2 linked regions of the Anolis sagrei genome follow. The protein of the gene in region 1 binds, or shares a complex with, the protein of each later gene. Links are inferred from orthologs where the notes say so. Each region holds a gene or a part of one and is shown on either strand. Other genes may lie near its edges. The genes, in order: KAT6B and BRPF3.

Region 1 (8,082 bases):
AAAATGCCACAGTGGGATGGATTTGGCTCATGAACCTAGAGTTTGACATCCGGGGTGTAGATGCACCCCGAGACCTTGCAAGGCTTGAATACATAGCAATGATTTATGAGTTATAGATATCTCTCTGTGTGTGTGGATGAATATGTATGTGTATACAGTAGAACCTCAACTTAAAAGCGTTCCAACCTAAAAGCATTTTGAGTCATGAGCTGTCACTTGTCCAGGTTTTGCTTTGACATACAAGCAGCATTTTGCATTAAGAGCTGGTGCTAGAGGGAGCACTAGCGAAAGAGTACAGTGCTTTAGAGCTTCAAGGGAGTAGCATCCGTACCATGTGCTCTTGTCTGCTTTGGGAGATTGCTGTCCCCTTTGAAGAACTTTGGGTTAGTTTGTGTGCTTTTTTATTCCTGGTATGTTTGGCTTCATGAAGAGAGGGAGAAAGAACAAGAGAGGGAGGGAGGCTGGAATGTGTCCAGTAGGAAGAAAATGATGCTTCTGCCTCTTCACTTTGGGCTTCCTTGCCACAACTTTGTACCTCTACCATTTTCAAGTTGATCTTTCTTTTTTTATTATTCCATGTGAACGTGCAGGTTTTGCCTTGCTATTACAATGGCCAGCACACATTTTGTTGCCTCAAATGTGCTTCCTTACTACAAATTTGCACTTCTACCATTTTACAGTTGATTGTTCTTTTAAACAGTTTCAAATAAATGTGCATTTATACATTACTTGTTACTGACAATTACATCTTTATTTTAAAAGCATGTAACAAAAATGGGGGGGGGGGGGTCGCACACCAGGGCTGGAAGGGCACCTTTAAACCAGTCTCACCACTCCAGAACTCAATTTATAAGCAAAGCAGTTTACTGAAGGTAAAAGATCAAAGGGTCGATATAAAGTTTATTTCTTTAAAAACAAAGCAATTGACCTATAATTCCCAGAATCCTCAGCCACATCAGGTAAAGAACCAGGCTTCTGTGAGACCTCAGATGCTGTCACAATCACAGGCTGAACCACAACAAGGGGCATGGAATGGATTAATAGCAGTTCAATGGAAAATTAGCTTTGAGATAACAGCATTTTGAGTTAAGAGTCCAGTCATAAACAATTTAAACTCTTAACTCAAGGTATCATTGTACACACACACACACACATATATGTGTGTGTGTGTATGTTTATATTGTATGTATATGTGTATGTGTATGTCTATGTATATATGTGTGCATACTTTATGTATATAGGTGTGTATGTATATGTGTATATGTATGATTATATTTATATATGTGTGTGTATATGCATGCATGTGTTTATATTTGTATGTATATGCATATATGTGCTTGTATATATATGTATGCATATATGTGAATGTACATGTGTATGTGCATGTGTATATATGTGTATGTATATATGTGTATGTTGTATTTGTATATGTATATATATTGGGTGTGTGTTTATATTTGCATGTGTATATTTGTGTATATGTATATATGTTTATATTTGTATATATGTGTTTATATTTGTATGTATATATGTGTGTGTTTATATTTGTATGTATATGTGCATATATATATGTGTGTGTTTGTATATTTATATGTGCATGCATATGTGTATGTTTACATTTATATGTACAGATGTGCATGCATATGTGTATGTTTATATTTGTATATGTAGGTATGTGTATGTTTATATTTGTGTGTACTGTATATATGTATGTACAAGTGAATGTTTATATTTGTATGTATATGCATATATGTATGTATATATATGTATATATGTGCATGTACTTGTGCATATGAATATATGTGTAGGTTTGTATTTGTATGCATATATATGTATGTATGTTTTTGTTGTTCATTCGTTCAGTCACTTCCGACTCTTCATGACCTCATGAACCAGCCCATGCCAGAGCTTCCTGTCGGCTCCTTATCTTTTCTGGCTAACCTCTGGCATTGTGCATTTACAGTGTATGTATATATGTATATTTATATTTGTATATATATGGGGATATATTTCTATGCGGATGTATATGTATGTTTATATTTGTGTGTATATGCATATGTATGTATGCATATATGTGCATGTACTTATCTGTATATATATGTGGGTATTTATTTATTTTTATTTATTTGATGCATTTATTAACCGCCATTCTCAGCCCATTAGGGCGACTCATGGCGTATGCATATATATATATGCATGTGTATATGATGAATGGGTATCAAGGAGGAATTCTGTGTGGCACCCACAAACTTGGCAGCTGCTCAAGCCTAGCAGATGTATGTATATGTGTGTGTTTATATTTGTATGTATATGTGCATATATATGTGTGTGTGTGCATATTTATATGTGCATCCATATGTGTATGTTTACATTTATATGTAAAGATGTGCATGCATATGTGTATCTTTATATTTGTATATGTGGGTATGTGTATATTTGTATACTGTATATATGTATGTATAAGTGAATGTTTATATTCGTATATATATGCATATGTGTATGTGTATATATATATATATATATACATATATGCATATATGTGCATGTACATGTGCATATGTATGTATGTGCAGGTTTGTATTTGTATGTATATATGTGGGTGTGCGTTTATATTTGTATGTATATATATATATATATATATATATGTATTTGTTGTTCATTCATTCAGTCACTTCTGACTCTTCATGACTTCATGAGCCAGCCCATGCCAGAGCAACCTGTCAGCCGTCACCACCCCCAGCTCCTTCAAGGTCCTTATCTCTTCTGGCTAACCTCTGGAGTTGTGCATTTACTGTGTATGTATATATGTATATTTCTATTTGTAAACAAAGATCTGCATAGTCAAAGCCATGGTATTCCCTGTAGTAACCTACGGATGTGAGAGCTGGACCTTAGGGAAGGCTGAGTGAAGGAAGATCGATGCTTTTGAACTGTGGTGTTGGAGGAAAGTGCTGAGAGTGCCGTGGACTGCGAGAAGATCCAACCAGTCCATCCTCCAGGAAATAAAGCCCAGAGGGAAGGATACTGGAGACATTGGAGGGAAGGATACTGGAGACAAAGTTGAAATACTTTGGCCACATCATGAGGAGACAGCAAAGCCTAGAGAAGACAATGATGATGGGGAAAGTGGAAGAAAAAAAGGAAGAGGGGCTGACCAAGGGCAAGATGGATGGATGGCATCCTTGAAGTGACCGGACTGACCTTGAAGGAGCTGGGGGTGGTGACAGCTGACAGGGAGCTCTGGCGTAGGCTGGCCCATGAGGTCCCGAAGAGTCGGAGATGACTAAACAAATGAACAACAACAACAAAATATGCCTATCTATGTATGTATGCATATATGTCCATGTACATATGTGTATACATGTGAGTATGCATATATGTGTATGCATGTGTATATGATGGATGGGTATCAAGGAGGAATTCTGTGTGGCACCCACAAACTTGGCAGCTGCTCAAGCCTAGCAGAGAAGAGGTTGTTGTGTGACTGAGTCTTGTACCTGAAGGAGGGCCACCTTTGTAGAGAGAAGGCAGGCATGGGGAGCGTGGAGAAGCGAGGAAAGGGGGGGGGGTCCCCAAGTTGGTACCAGGTTGGGGGGGTAGGCAGCCCCTTCTTCCAGCTCTGAGGACAAAAGGCGCTCCCAGCCCTGCGGATGCCTCCTTGGCGAAGGGGCCCCTTGCCTTGGGATGGCGCCCCTCCTTCCCTCCTCCCTCCCTGCCTCCGTCCAGCCAGCCAGCCAGCCATCTAGCCAGCCTCCCCCTTCCTTCCTCCCCTTCCCTTTCCCCTCCTCCTCCTCCTCCCCCTCCCTCCCGAGGAGCTCCGTTTCCCACTTGCCAGGAGCAGATTAAAAAAAAGAGAGAGAAAGAAAAAAAAAACCCCGCAACAACCCAGAAAACGGGGAGGGACCTCTTCTGTCAGAGCCTTATGTAGATTAACCTTTCAATTAGCCGTGATCAAGTCCCTGCTTTTAGAGCCCACCACCACCACCGGGTCCGGGAGACAAATCTGCAGCCACCAAGAAAGGTCGGATGGGGGGGAATTGATGGATGGATGGATTGGTTTGCAAAAGATTGGATTCTTTGGAAGGGGGAGGGAAAGGAGGATGAGGATGGGGAGGATTCCTCCCGTTGGAGTGCTTCTGCTTCCCAATCTCTGGGGGTTTTTGTGTGGGGTGTGTTTTGGGATTGTTGTGGAGCAGGGAAATCGATAGTTTGGGGGGAAAGGGTTGTTGTTGTTGGTGGGGTTCTTCTCTTTGCCTTCTCCTCGGAGCCACATTCCTAAGGAGCATCTCTCCTTTCTCTCTCTCTGTCTCCCTCCCGCCAAGGCACGTGTTTACAGAGGATCCGTGCCTTTCCCTCCTCCCTCCCTCCTTATAGACTGCGATTGTTTCCTGCAGGAAATGGGCGGGTTCGGCGGGCCCCGCGTGCCTGGGCAGGCAGCGCGTGCACCCTTCTTCCTCCCTCTCTCTCTCAATCTTTCCCTTCCTTCTGATTTGGAGCTTGTTTTGTTTCCCCTTTCAATTCCGCCCGCCCGCGTGGCGTGAAACTCAATAATAATAACAATAATAATACAGTACTCCCGCGCGCCGCTGATTAGTATGTGTCGCGTGCCCTCCCGCACGCCGAAAGCGCCCCCCGCTCTATTCCCACAGATTACAAACTTCAGGATGAAACCGAAGCAAAGGCAAAAAAAAGGGAGGCTGCTTGAGCTTGATTGATAGCTTCACTAGCCTATTAAACAAGCCAAAGCGTGCCTCCCTTTTCTCTCTCTCTCAATCTTCGTCCCTCCCCCTTTTTATGTGTAATTGCCAGCCAACTAGGATCGTGGACAGCGACAGTGCATTTTTTTCCCTCCCCCGACTATAGGATTGATTGACAGCACTCACCGTCCAATGGCGTGCTAGGTCTAAATGGGTTGGTGGAGAGGAATGACGAGAGGCAGGGCGCTGCCGCCAATGAGCGCGGCGGTTTGAACGAAGAGGCGGGGCGTCCACCAAGGGGAGGGCAAGCGAGGGAGGGGGGGCAGAGGCTGTAATGAGCCTACATCGGGCTGTCATCGGGTGTCATGTCGGATGCGCGGTGACTGCGAGAGGGCGAGACAAAATGGCGGCAGCGAAGGCGGCTTGAAAGGCGAAGGGCGGCGAGGTGAGAAGCGGTGGCGGCGCGGGCGCTGCCCGAGGAGGAGGGAACTTGGGCGGCGGCGGGGAGGCCGGCAGGGGGCGCAGCTGGGGCTTGCCTTGGCTCCTCCCCCCGGCGGAGGGTGGGTCGCGAGCGCCCCCCGGCGGACGAGGCGAGGCAAGCAGGGGCCTCGCGCCCTCGTTGCAGGTGGCGCGCGCGAGGAGAGAGGGGGGGCGTGGGGCGGGGCCAGCTATGCAAATCAACCCTGTGAGGGCAACTGGATGGGCTTGGAGTTATTGGATGGGTAAATAAGAGGCCTGCTATGCAGAGCTGAAGGAAGCGTTGGTTGGGCGCGTGCCTTTGAACGTGGCCTCTGAGAGGCTTGGGGAGGAGAGCTCAGGACCCTTCCACACAGCTGTATAAAATCCCACATTATCTGCTTTGAACTGGGTTATATGGCAGTATGGGCTCAGGGCAGCCCTATATCCCAGAGTATCAAGGCAGAAAACCCCACAATATCTGCTTTGAAACTGGGTTATATGGCAGTATGGGCTCAGGGCAGCCCTACATCCCATAATATCAAGGCAGAAAATCCCACAATATCTGCTTTGAAACTGGGTTATATGGCAGTATGGGCTCAGGGCAGCCCTACATCCCATAATATCAAGGCAGAAAATACCACTATATCTGTTTTGAACAGGGTTATATGGCAGTATGGGCTCAGGGCAGCCCTACATCCCAGAATATCAAGGCAGAAAACCCCACAATATCTGCTTTGAACTGGGTTAGCTGAGAACACACAGAGATATTGTGGGATTTTCTGCTTTGATATTCTGGGTTATAGGGCTGTGGGGAAGGGTCCCGAGGGGCTCCTGAGGAAAACAATCTGAGTACGCTTCCACACAGGCATATAACCCAGAATATCAAGGCAGTAAATCCCACAATATCTGCTTTGAACTGGGTTATATGGCAGTATGGGCTCAGGGCAGCCCTGTATCCCAGAATATCAAGGCAGAAAATCCCACAATATCTGCATTGAACTGGGTTATATGGCAGTATGGGCTCAGGGCAGCCCTGTATCCCAGAATATCAAGGCAGAAAATCCCACAAGATCTGCATTGAACTGGGTTATATGGCAGTATGGGCTCAGGGCAGCCCTACATCCCAGAATATCAAGGCAGAAAACCCCACAATATCTGCTTTGAACTGGGTTATATGGCAGTATTGGCTTAGGGCAACCCTATATCCCAGAATATCATGGCAGAAAACCCCATAATATCTGCTTTGAACTGGGTTATATGGCAGTATGGGCTCAGGGCAGCCCTATTTCCCAGAATATCAAGGCAGAAAATCCCACAATATCTGATTTGAACTGGGTTGTATGAGTCCACACAGAGGTATTGTGGGATTTTCTGTTTTTATATTCTGGGTTATAGGGCTGTGGGGAAGGGTCCTGAGGAGTTCCTGAGAAAAACAATCTGAGGGTGCTTCCACACAGGCATATAACCCAGAATATCAAGGCAGAAGATCCCACAATATCTGCTTTAAACTGGGTTATCTGAGTCCACACAGAGATAATGTGGGATTTTCTGACTTGATATTCTGGGATATAGGGCTGTGTGGCAGGGCCCTTAGATATCCCAGTTCAAAGCAGATATTCTGGATCATCTGCCATGATATTCTGGGTCATATGGCTGTTTGGAAGGGTCCTCACTTTGTTTTTCTCAAGAGTCCCTCAGGACCCTTCCTCACAGCCATGTAACCCAGAATATCAAAGCAGAAAATCCCACAATATCTGCTTTGAATAGGGTCATCAGAGCCTATTGCACACTGCCATATATCCCAGTTCAAAGCAGATATTCTGGATTTTTCTGCTTTGTTTCTAGGTTATATGGCTGTGTGGAAGGGCTCTCAGGTTGTTTTTCTCAAGAGCCCCTCAGGACCCTTCCATACAGCTATATAACCCAGAATATTAAAGCAGAAAATCCTACAATATCTGCTTTGAATAGGCTCATCAGAGTCCAACCTGCCATATATTCCAGTTCAAAGCAGATAATGTGGGATTTTATTCAGCTGTGTGGAAGGAGCCTCGGATAACCCAGTTCAAAGCAGATATTCTGGAGTATCTGCCTTAATATTCTGGGTTATATGGCTGTGTGGAAGGGCCTTTAGTTTGTCTTTCTCAACAGCCCCTCAGGACCCTTCTACATAGCCAGAATATTCAGACAGAAAACCCCACAGGATCTGCTTTGAACTAGGTTATCTGAGTCCACACTGCCATATATTCTAGTTCAAAGCAGAAAATGTAGGATTTTATTCAGCTGTGTCAAAGGGGGCTCAGATAACTCAGTTCAAAGCAGATATTGTGGATTACCTGCCTTAATATTCTGGGTTATATGGCTGTGTTGGAAGGACCCTGAGTCCAAACTGCCATATTATCCAGTTCAACGTGGATTTTATACAGCTGTATGGATGTGGCCTCAGTCAGGTAGAGTACCTTCAGCCTGTGGCCCACCAGTTGTTTGGGCCTCCAACTTCCAGAATTCCTGACCATTGAACAAGCTAGCTAAGAGTCCTGAGAGTTGGAGGCCCAAACAACTGGTGGGCTGCACTGTGATTCAGTGCATAGAACTTCCTTTTTGTATGTCTGGTACTTCATAGTTGGGCAGTCTATAAATGGTGGCATTGAGACCACCTCCCAAAGAGTTTTTGGTTTGAAATGAATATAGTGGGGAACTAAAGCAGTCCTGGGTAAACTTTGGTTCTCCAATTGTTTTGGACTTCAGCTTGCACATTTCCTAGCAGCTGGTAGGCTGTCAGGAATTGTGAGAGTTGGAAGTCCAAAATACCTGGAGAACCGAAGTATGCTCATGTCTGAACTAGAGTAAGAAGGTGTGGATATACTTAGTTTCTAAGCTTTCCAGTTTTCATTTCATGAAAAGGGCTAATGAGTCTCTGTTTCCTGCC
Region 2 (8,082 bases), on another chromosome or scaffold:
CAGTATTCATTGGCTGTTTCTCAACAAAATACCACCCAGGTTCCAGGACTAGATGGGATCTAGTATCTTCAGGTTATTTAAGTGGATGCCTAGCCCTTTAAATACTATAGTATCAAACCAGAAATAGGTTGCTTCCTGAAAATAACAGTGCAACAGTATTTTGAAGACACAACTCATGTCAGTTGCAATTTATAGCATACTATTTATTCCACAACTGTTACACATATAGGGCTATAAACTGCCTTCCTGTTGAAGTTCAAGATGGAGGGATGGTATCCTTGAAGTGACTGGCTTGATTCTGAAGGAGCTGGGGGTGGTGACAGCCGACAGGGAACTCTGGCGTGGGCTGGTCCATGAGGTCACAAAGAGTTGGAAGCGAGTAAATGAATAAACAACAACATCCATTTCCTCCGGTTGATGTTTGCTTTGTAAAATTTGGGCTCAGCGCTCTAATCTGTTAGGATTGTTTGGGATTCTGATCCTGGGGTATTACCTAACCCTTTCAATTTGGCATCATTGAGGTACGCTATACTCACCTTTCAATTTTCACTTAAGTGTATCCATTTCCCCCGGTTGAGGATCACTTTGTGAAATTTGGGTCCAGCGCTCTAATCTGTTGGGAGTCTGATCCTATCCTCTGGGATATTCATTATCCCTCCCATTTTGGTGGATAACAAACTTGACAAACTTTGGTTGGCTTTTTGTAAATCAATGCAGATGTTTTACTGTTTAGGTTTTATGTCATATAAATTTGTTTGCATACGTTTTGTTTAATTTATTGATGTTAGGTTTTGATGTTATTTTCATATGTGGGGTTATTTTGGATTACTCGTTAACGTTTGTTTTATCAAAGCGATGAATGCTTGTCTTTTTGTTTGTTGGAATCTGCTCTGAGACCCCTTGGGGAGGTAGGGAGGAATATAAATACAGTTATTATTATTTGTGACATTGAGGTACACGTTTCCATTTTTCTCACCCAAGTGCAGAATCATAATATTGGAGACCACATGGGACATCCAGTCCAACCCCTTGCCATGCAGAAAAAGCAGTCAAAGCATCTCCAACAGATGGCCATCCCACTTGTTTAAAAACCTCTACCACACATCGAGACAGTGAGTTCCACTGTTGCAGTGTGGCCTAGGATAGGGAACACACAATGTCCCTATTAAAACAGCTCCATTGGCTACTGTTAAGTTTTGATGTAAATTCAAACTACAGGTTATTACCTATAAAGCCCTGCTTATCTTTGTGACCGCATACCCCCTATGTACCTGCGCTAGAATCAAGATCTGCTGGGGAGGCCCGCCTCGCAATCCTGCCACCATCCCAAGCACGGTTGGTGGGAACGAGGGAGAGGGCCTTTTCAGTGGTGGTCCCACGGCTTTGGAACACCCTTCCTCAGGGAGATTAGGCAGGCCCCCACATTGTCCTCTTTCAGTAGGGATTTGAAGACTTGGATGTTTAAACAAGCTTTTGAGAATTTCTAGCCCAATGGTCCGCAATTAATGACACAGCACTGCACTTTCATCCCATGCATTGGTTCCTTACAGTTTGCACTATTTCATTCCCTTGTCTTGTTTACAGTTTGGCCATGTCTTACAGCTGTTGTCACCACAGGTTATTGGGCGTTGTTCTGAGTTTTAAATTACTGTTTTTATGTGCTATTGGTTTTACTTTTTCTATTGTAAAAAGTAAAGGTTTTGTTTCCAAATCTGGGGGGTGGTGCTCATTTTCAAGTTGAAGAGCTGGCATTGTCCGTAGACATCTCCAAGTTCATGTGGCCTACATGGTGGGCCGTTACTTTCCCGTCAAAGCGGTGCCTATTGATCTACTCACATTTACATGTTTTCAAACTGCTAAGTTGGTAGAAGCTGGGACTAACAATGGGAGCTCACCCCACTTCCCTGGATTCGAACAGCCAACCTTTCAGTCTGCAAGGTTGTATTGTACTGTTGTTTTGTATTGTACTGTGTGTATATTTTATGCGTTGTTTTTAGGCACTTTGTGCCATATGTAAGCCGGCCTGAATCCCTTCAGGGAGATGGAGAGGTACAAAAATAAAGCTATTATTATTATTATTTTATTGGCATCGGCAAACTTCATCCCTCCAGGTGTTTTGGACTTCAATTCCCACAATCCCTAACAGCCTTAGGCCCTTTCCTTTTCCACCCCAGCCTCTACACCAGGGGTCCTCAAACTAAGACCTGGGGGCCAGATAAGGCCCTCCAAGGTCATTTACCCGGCCCTTGCTCAGGGTCAACCTAAGTCTAAAATGACTTGAAAGCACACAACAACAATCCTATCTCATCAGCCAAAAGCGAGCCTACACTTCTAATTGAAATAGTAATAAGTTGATATTTGTTAAAATTGTCCTTCATTTTAATTATTGTGTTGTTTTAAAGTGTTTTCTGCACTACAAATAAGATATGTGCAGTGGACATAGGAATTCATTCATGTTTTTTTCAAATTATAATCCGGCCCTCCAACAGTTTGAGGGACTGTGATCTGGCCCTCTGTTTAAACCAGGGGTCCACAAACTTTTTAAACAGAGGGCCAGGCCACAGTCCCTCAAACTGTTTAAGGGCCAGATTATAATTTGAAAAAAAATATGAATGAATTCCTATGTCCACTGCACATATCTTATTTGTAGTGCAAAAAACACTTAAAACAATACAATAATTAAAATGAAAATTTCAACAAATATAAAATTATTAGTATTTCAATGGGAAGTGTGGGCCTACTTTTGGCTGATGAGATAGGACTGTTGTTATTGTTGTGTGCTTTCAAGTCATTTCAGACTTTGGTTGACCCTGAGCGAGGGCTGGGTAAATGACCTTGAGGGGCCGCATCCGGCCCCCGGGCCTTAGTTTGAGGACCCCTGCTCTACACTGTTTAACAATGGAACACCTGAACAGTAGGATGAACTTCCTAACTGTGAGAGCTGTTCAGCAGGAGTGCAACAAAGGCTCCTTCTTAGGAGGCTTTTAAGCAGAGGCTGGATGGCCATCTGTTGGGGGTGCTTTGAATGCGATTTTCCTGCTTCTTGGCAGGGGGCTGGACTGGATGGCCCACAAGGTCTCTTCCAACTCTATGAGGGCCGAAGTTTGCCCATGCCTGGTGTGGATGATACACTTCTCCCTGCTGAAGTCCATTTTGTGGAGTTGGGTGCAGCGCTGTAGGCTGATCCTGTCCTCTGGGGAATCGGCTCTCCCTCCCTCATCGGGCCAGCACTGAGGTCAACCCTCCCTGCCTCCCTCCCTCCCAGTGCCCCTCAAGGAAGGCAGCCACTCAGTCAGTCCCAGGGCTTCCCGGGGCAAGAGAGGAGCACCTGGGAGGCGCCTCCAGCCCTGCGTCGCCTACCTCGGCCTCCCCTCGCCCTCGCCCCCGGGGCCTCCAAGACTCGTGTCCAGGGAGGAAACGCAAGGGGGGGCGGTCCCTGTCCGGGGGGGGGGGAGCGAAAGGGAGCGGCGCGGCGGCAGTAGCAGGAGCAGCCCCCTCCCTCGCCGCCTCCTTCTCCCCCTCCTTCGCTCTCTCCCTCCATCGCTTGGCCGGGCTTGGCGCTCCTGCTGCTGCTGCTCCCACGGCCGCCTCCATCTTGCCGCCTTCCCCCTTTCCTGCCCTGCAACAGGAGCCGCGGAAGAGAGCGGCTGAAGAGCTGCGGGCGACGAGGGGGCGGCGCTGAGCCGACATTTTGTGCCCCCTCCCTTCCTCCCTCCCTCAGCGACGGCGCCAACGGCAGACGGCGAGGCAGCGGCCCAGGAAGGCAAGTAAGCGCCCGCTTTATCCGTGACTCTCTCTCCCTCTCCCCCTTCTCTCTCTCTCTGATAATACCCTCAGGGTCGTGGGAAGGTGACTTATCGTGAAGGGCTTGGCGGGACCGACACAGGCTCGGCCCGCTTCCGAAACACTTGGCAAGGCTCACTTTCCAAAGCGCCGCCTCCTGAGGTGAAGGAGGAAGACAACCTAAACGGGGAGCGCGGGGGGGACAGGGGAGAGCGAGCCCCGCCATCTTGTTTTCCCTCACCACCGGGAAGCCTTAGCCACGCCCACCTTCCCCTTCCCTATTGGACGGCGTAGCTCCCGCCCGCGAGCTGGGCGCTGCTATGGGTGATGGGCAGCGCCGGTGTCCAATGAGAGCGCGGCTGCCGCTGTTTCTCTTACCTGTCGAGGGATATTCCCCCCCCCCCTTTCCCGCTGGTCGATGTTGGCACTGTGGGCTCCTTGAGGCCTCTGGGTCACGTGATCAAGGCCTGCATCCTGATATATCCTCCAGTTTCTGTGCAGAGGCCTGGTTTATTTTTTCCCTCACTGTGAACCTCCTGGGGACTCTTGAGTGGCCACAGCTGCCGTGCTAATGCTTAAATCCTGAGGCAATTCAATGCACTCTGTACCTTTCCCAAAAGGCAGCTCATTTGTACACAATTGGCATAGCTTCTGGTCACACACTGAGGCAGTGAGTTCCACTATTGAACAGTGTAGACTAGTCATGGGCAAGCTCGGGCCCTTCAGGTGTTTTGGATTTCAACTCCCACAATTCCCAACAGTCTCAGGTCCATTCTATTTCCCCTGAGGCTGTTAGGAATTGTGGGAGTTGAAATCCAAAACACCTAGTAGCACAAGCTTGCCCATGCCTGTTCTGGCCCATATAGTACCAGAGTCACCAGGAAGTTGAGGCAAAATACACATTATTATTATTATTATTATTATTATTATTATTATTATTTTGGTCGTGTTAGGAGTGACTTGAGAAACTGCAAGTCTCTTCTGGTGTGAGAGAATTGGCTGTCTGGAAGGACGTTGCCCAGGGGATGCTCGGATGTTGTGATGTTTTAACATCCTTGTGGGAGGCTTCTCTCATGTCCCTGCATGAGGAGCTGGAGCTGATAGAGGGAGCTCATCCGTGCTCTTCACGGATTTGAACCTTCGACCTGTCGGTCTTCAGTTCTGCTGGCACAGGGGTTTATTATTATTATTATTATTATTATTATTATTATTATTTGAAACACAACAAGATGAGTCCACAACAGACAAGATCACTCTGCTGGTTGTTGTATTCGATCACACGTTGGACACTTCCCAAGTGTCTAGGACTGTGTGATGTATCGGCGAATAATGCATGCAGATCCCAGTAAGGTTGCCATTTGCCTCTGGCAGATGGTAATTTTGTCAGCGCCAATTGTGTTGAAGTGCAGGCCAAGGTCTTTAGGCACTGCACCCAGTGTGCCAATCACTGGGACTACCTTGACTGGCTTGTGGCAGAGTCTTTGCAGTTAGATCTTTAAATCCTTGTACCGTGTCAGCTTTTCCAGTTGTTTCTCTTCAATTCTGCTGTCACCTGGGATTGCAACATTGACAATCCATACTTATTATTATTTGTATTTATATCCCACTTTACCTTTCATACAAACCCTAAAAGTTCAAAACATTAGAAATCTTTTGTACCTAAAATGCTACATAAGTTCCTGTTCATATCAGCGATTTAACTTGACCTGGAAAAAAGATTGTGGTCTGACACGCGATGCATCCACATTGTAGAGTTAATGCAGTTTTCTACAACTTTAACTGGGCCTTGAATAGAGAGACAACTAAGCTAAGCACATTTTGGTGAGTTTTTTTCTTAATGTTGTGGCTGTGTGGAATAGGAGCGAGTAAATTGTGAAGTGTTGACACATTTCATACTCAATGGCAACAAGTTTATTTTCCTGCCACATGGTAACATTCACTAACCAAGACCAGGTTCTCCTTAGAACAGGTTGTGCTCATTCTTAAGCAAGAAAATTAATTGCATTTTTCCACTGCTTTCATTTCTGCCTCCCGTCAGAAAAGGAAGAAAACATTTCACCCCTCACAGAAAAGAGTGCATCTATTCCTTCTAATATCTTTCTCTGTGGCTCAGTCATTTTTCTCCATCTTGGTTTCTGTTCCTCAGATTGCAGGATTTATTTATATCGTATCAAAAGCATTGCATAAATAAGTATAAAACTGATAAAAATAGAAGGAGCCCAGGCGGCTAAATATTTTTTGACCACAGACAGGCAACAGCGACCGCATTGTCTGTAGCTTTAAACAGTTCTTCCTCTGTAGGATTTATGTCAACTAGTAATGCATGTTAAAAGCCAAAGATTGGTCACATTAGTGTTTCTCTGTGTTTCTTGCCTTGGCCCTGGTCGCTCCTTAGGAATTCTGGGTCTCAGTGCTGAAAATACAGCAGTAGTGTCAGCTAGCAGATTTCTCTTGTTCTGGTCTTGAATATTATAGCCTTCAGTACCTTCCCTTGCCTCCTCCCTCCCTTCTTTCCTTCCCTCCCTCCCCTTCTCTCTCTCAGGGTGCATCTACACCAGGCAGGGGAATATTTTAGCCCTCCAGGTGTTTTGGACTTCAACTCCCACAATTCCTAAAATCTGGTAAGCTGTTAGGAATTGTGGGAGTTGAAGTCCAAAACACCTGGAGGGACAAAGTTTATCCATTCCTGATCTACACTGTAGAAATAATGCATTTTGACACCACTTTATCTGCGGTGGCTTAATGATATGGAGTCCTGGGAGCTATAGTTTTACACGGTCTTTAGCCTTCACAGCCAAAGAGCACTGGTGCCCCACTATACTATAAATGGCATTATTCCAAAGCCTTGCGTCATGGCAGTTAAAATTCATCAGATTCCATCAATTTGGCAATGTAGATGCATCCTTAAGCCCACTTTCTCTTTGTGCCCTTTCCTTCAATGCATCACCCACCGTTTCATCAGGTCCCAGCACCCCTTGACCCTCTTTCCTGATACTCCTTTCTCACTTTTCCTTCTGACTTTAAGCACTTCAAGTTGCCCCCCCCCCATCTTACCATAATTACTTGTCTGAACATCTGTCCTTTTTATCCAGCCTCTCTCCATAATTGCCTTCCTTAGCTTTTAGATCTCCCACGTCCAAAGGACTCTTCCTTTACTTTAACCAGCTTGCTTGAATTTTTAATTCTAGTCAAACTCACAGCTTATCCTATTAAGTTGCGACTCAAAGCTCCCCGATCAACATATTGAAAATAACTATTTCTATAGTTTTGCATGCATTAAATATATAGTCTTGTTTGTCTTTGATTCAGCAGTGGAAAGCTCATAGGGTCAAAGGAGTAGTGTCACAAATTTTATAGATAGAAAGCAAATTTTATTGTATTATATGTATAATTGGATACCAGAGAGATAAATTAAAAAATCTACTGAATTTCAGCAGAAAAAATGTGCTATTGTTAGCTGATGATGGCTGGCATGTTCAGACACATGGTAACAATACTGAAGAAGTCTGATCTGTTGGTCAATGCTTGAGATAGGCAAGGACTGAGATAGTGGAAAGGATGGAGAAAAAGTAAAGTCATCGAAGGAAGAAAGAATTGAAATGTAGTGTCTTACTGCAGGTGAGTCTGCTGTAGGGCACCAAAGCAAATGTTCTTGGTCCACAAATTGCTTTGCTCTAATGTATGGAAGAAGTGTGGCATTGTATAACAGCAGGAAGCCAGAAAGAAAATCACACAAAATAAGCACGTACTTCCCCTAATATGCCTTTGCAATTACGAATAATCTTTATAATAAATTACAATAACTGCAAAGGTAGCTTAAAGTTAGAATTATTTGGTTATTGAAAATCATGGAATTGCAAAATATGCATTGTTCTATTTATATTTTTAATTGGTAATCTTACATATGCATAAATAATATCCCGATCCCTTTATAATTAAATACACAAGGGCAAAGTAAACAAAATCACCGTTGCTGCAAGAATAGTCCCTAATACATACACATAACAAAAATCAAGAAAACTGGAAGAAACAGAAAGGCCAATCAAACCATAAATGTCATCACTGGAAATACCTGTTGATGCTTATTAGTCTTGATATAATTAATAAGATGATTTGTCCAGTTGATTGCTAATAGTGCATCTTAAAACAAAGTAATCCATTTTGATAGACAGCGAGAAATGCCTGTCAAAATAAGTAATATGTGCATATTAGGGGAAGGGCATGATTTTTCGTGAATCATATTTTGTCTCATGGGAGGAATTTGCCCTCCACGAGGATGTTTTTGCAACATTGTTTTTG

What was found.
Region 2: KAT6B (region 1) and BRPF3 share a complex: the UniProt entries of both Homo sapiens proteins name them as parts of the MOZ/MORF complex. The link is inferred for Anolis sagrei from reciprocal best matches to the Homo sapiens genes KAT6B and BRPF3.

The regions. Positions count from the first base shown.
Region 1 is NC_090023.1:148,790,284-148,798,365, forward strand, and holds the start of KAT6B (histone acetyltransferase KAT6B), read left to right. Parts: upstream 1-3,810; 5' UTR 3,811-4,021; intron 4,022-5,055; exon of another isoform or gene 5,056-5,142; intron 5,143-8,082. UniProt on the Homo sapiens protein: Histone acetyltransferase which may be involved in both positive and negative regulation of transcription. Required for RUNX2-dependent transcriptional activation. May be involved in cerebral cortex development.
Region 2 is NC_090024.1:186,395,316-186,403,397, forward strand, and holds the start of BRPF3 (bromodomain and PHD finger-containing protein 3), read left to right. Parts: upstream 1-3,173; 5' UTR 3,174-3,767; intron 3,768-8,082. UniProt on the Homo sapiens protein: Scaffold subunit of various histone acetyltransferase (HAT) complexes, such as the MOZ/MORF and HBO1 complexes, which have a histone H3 acetyltransferase activity.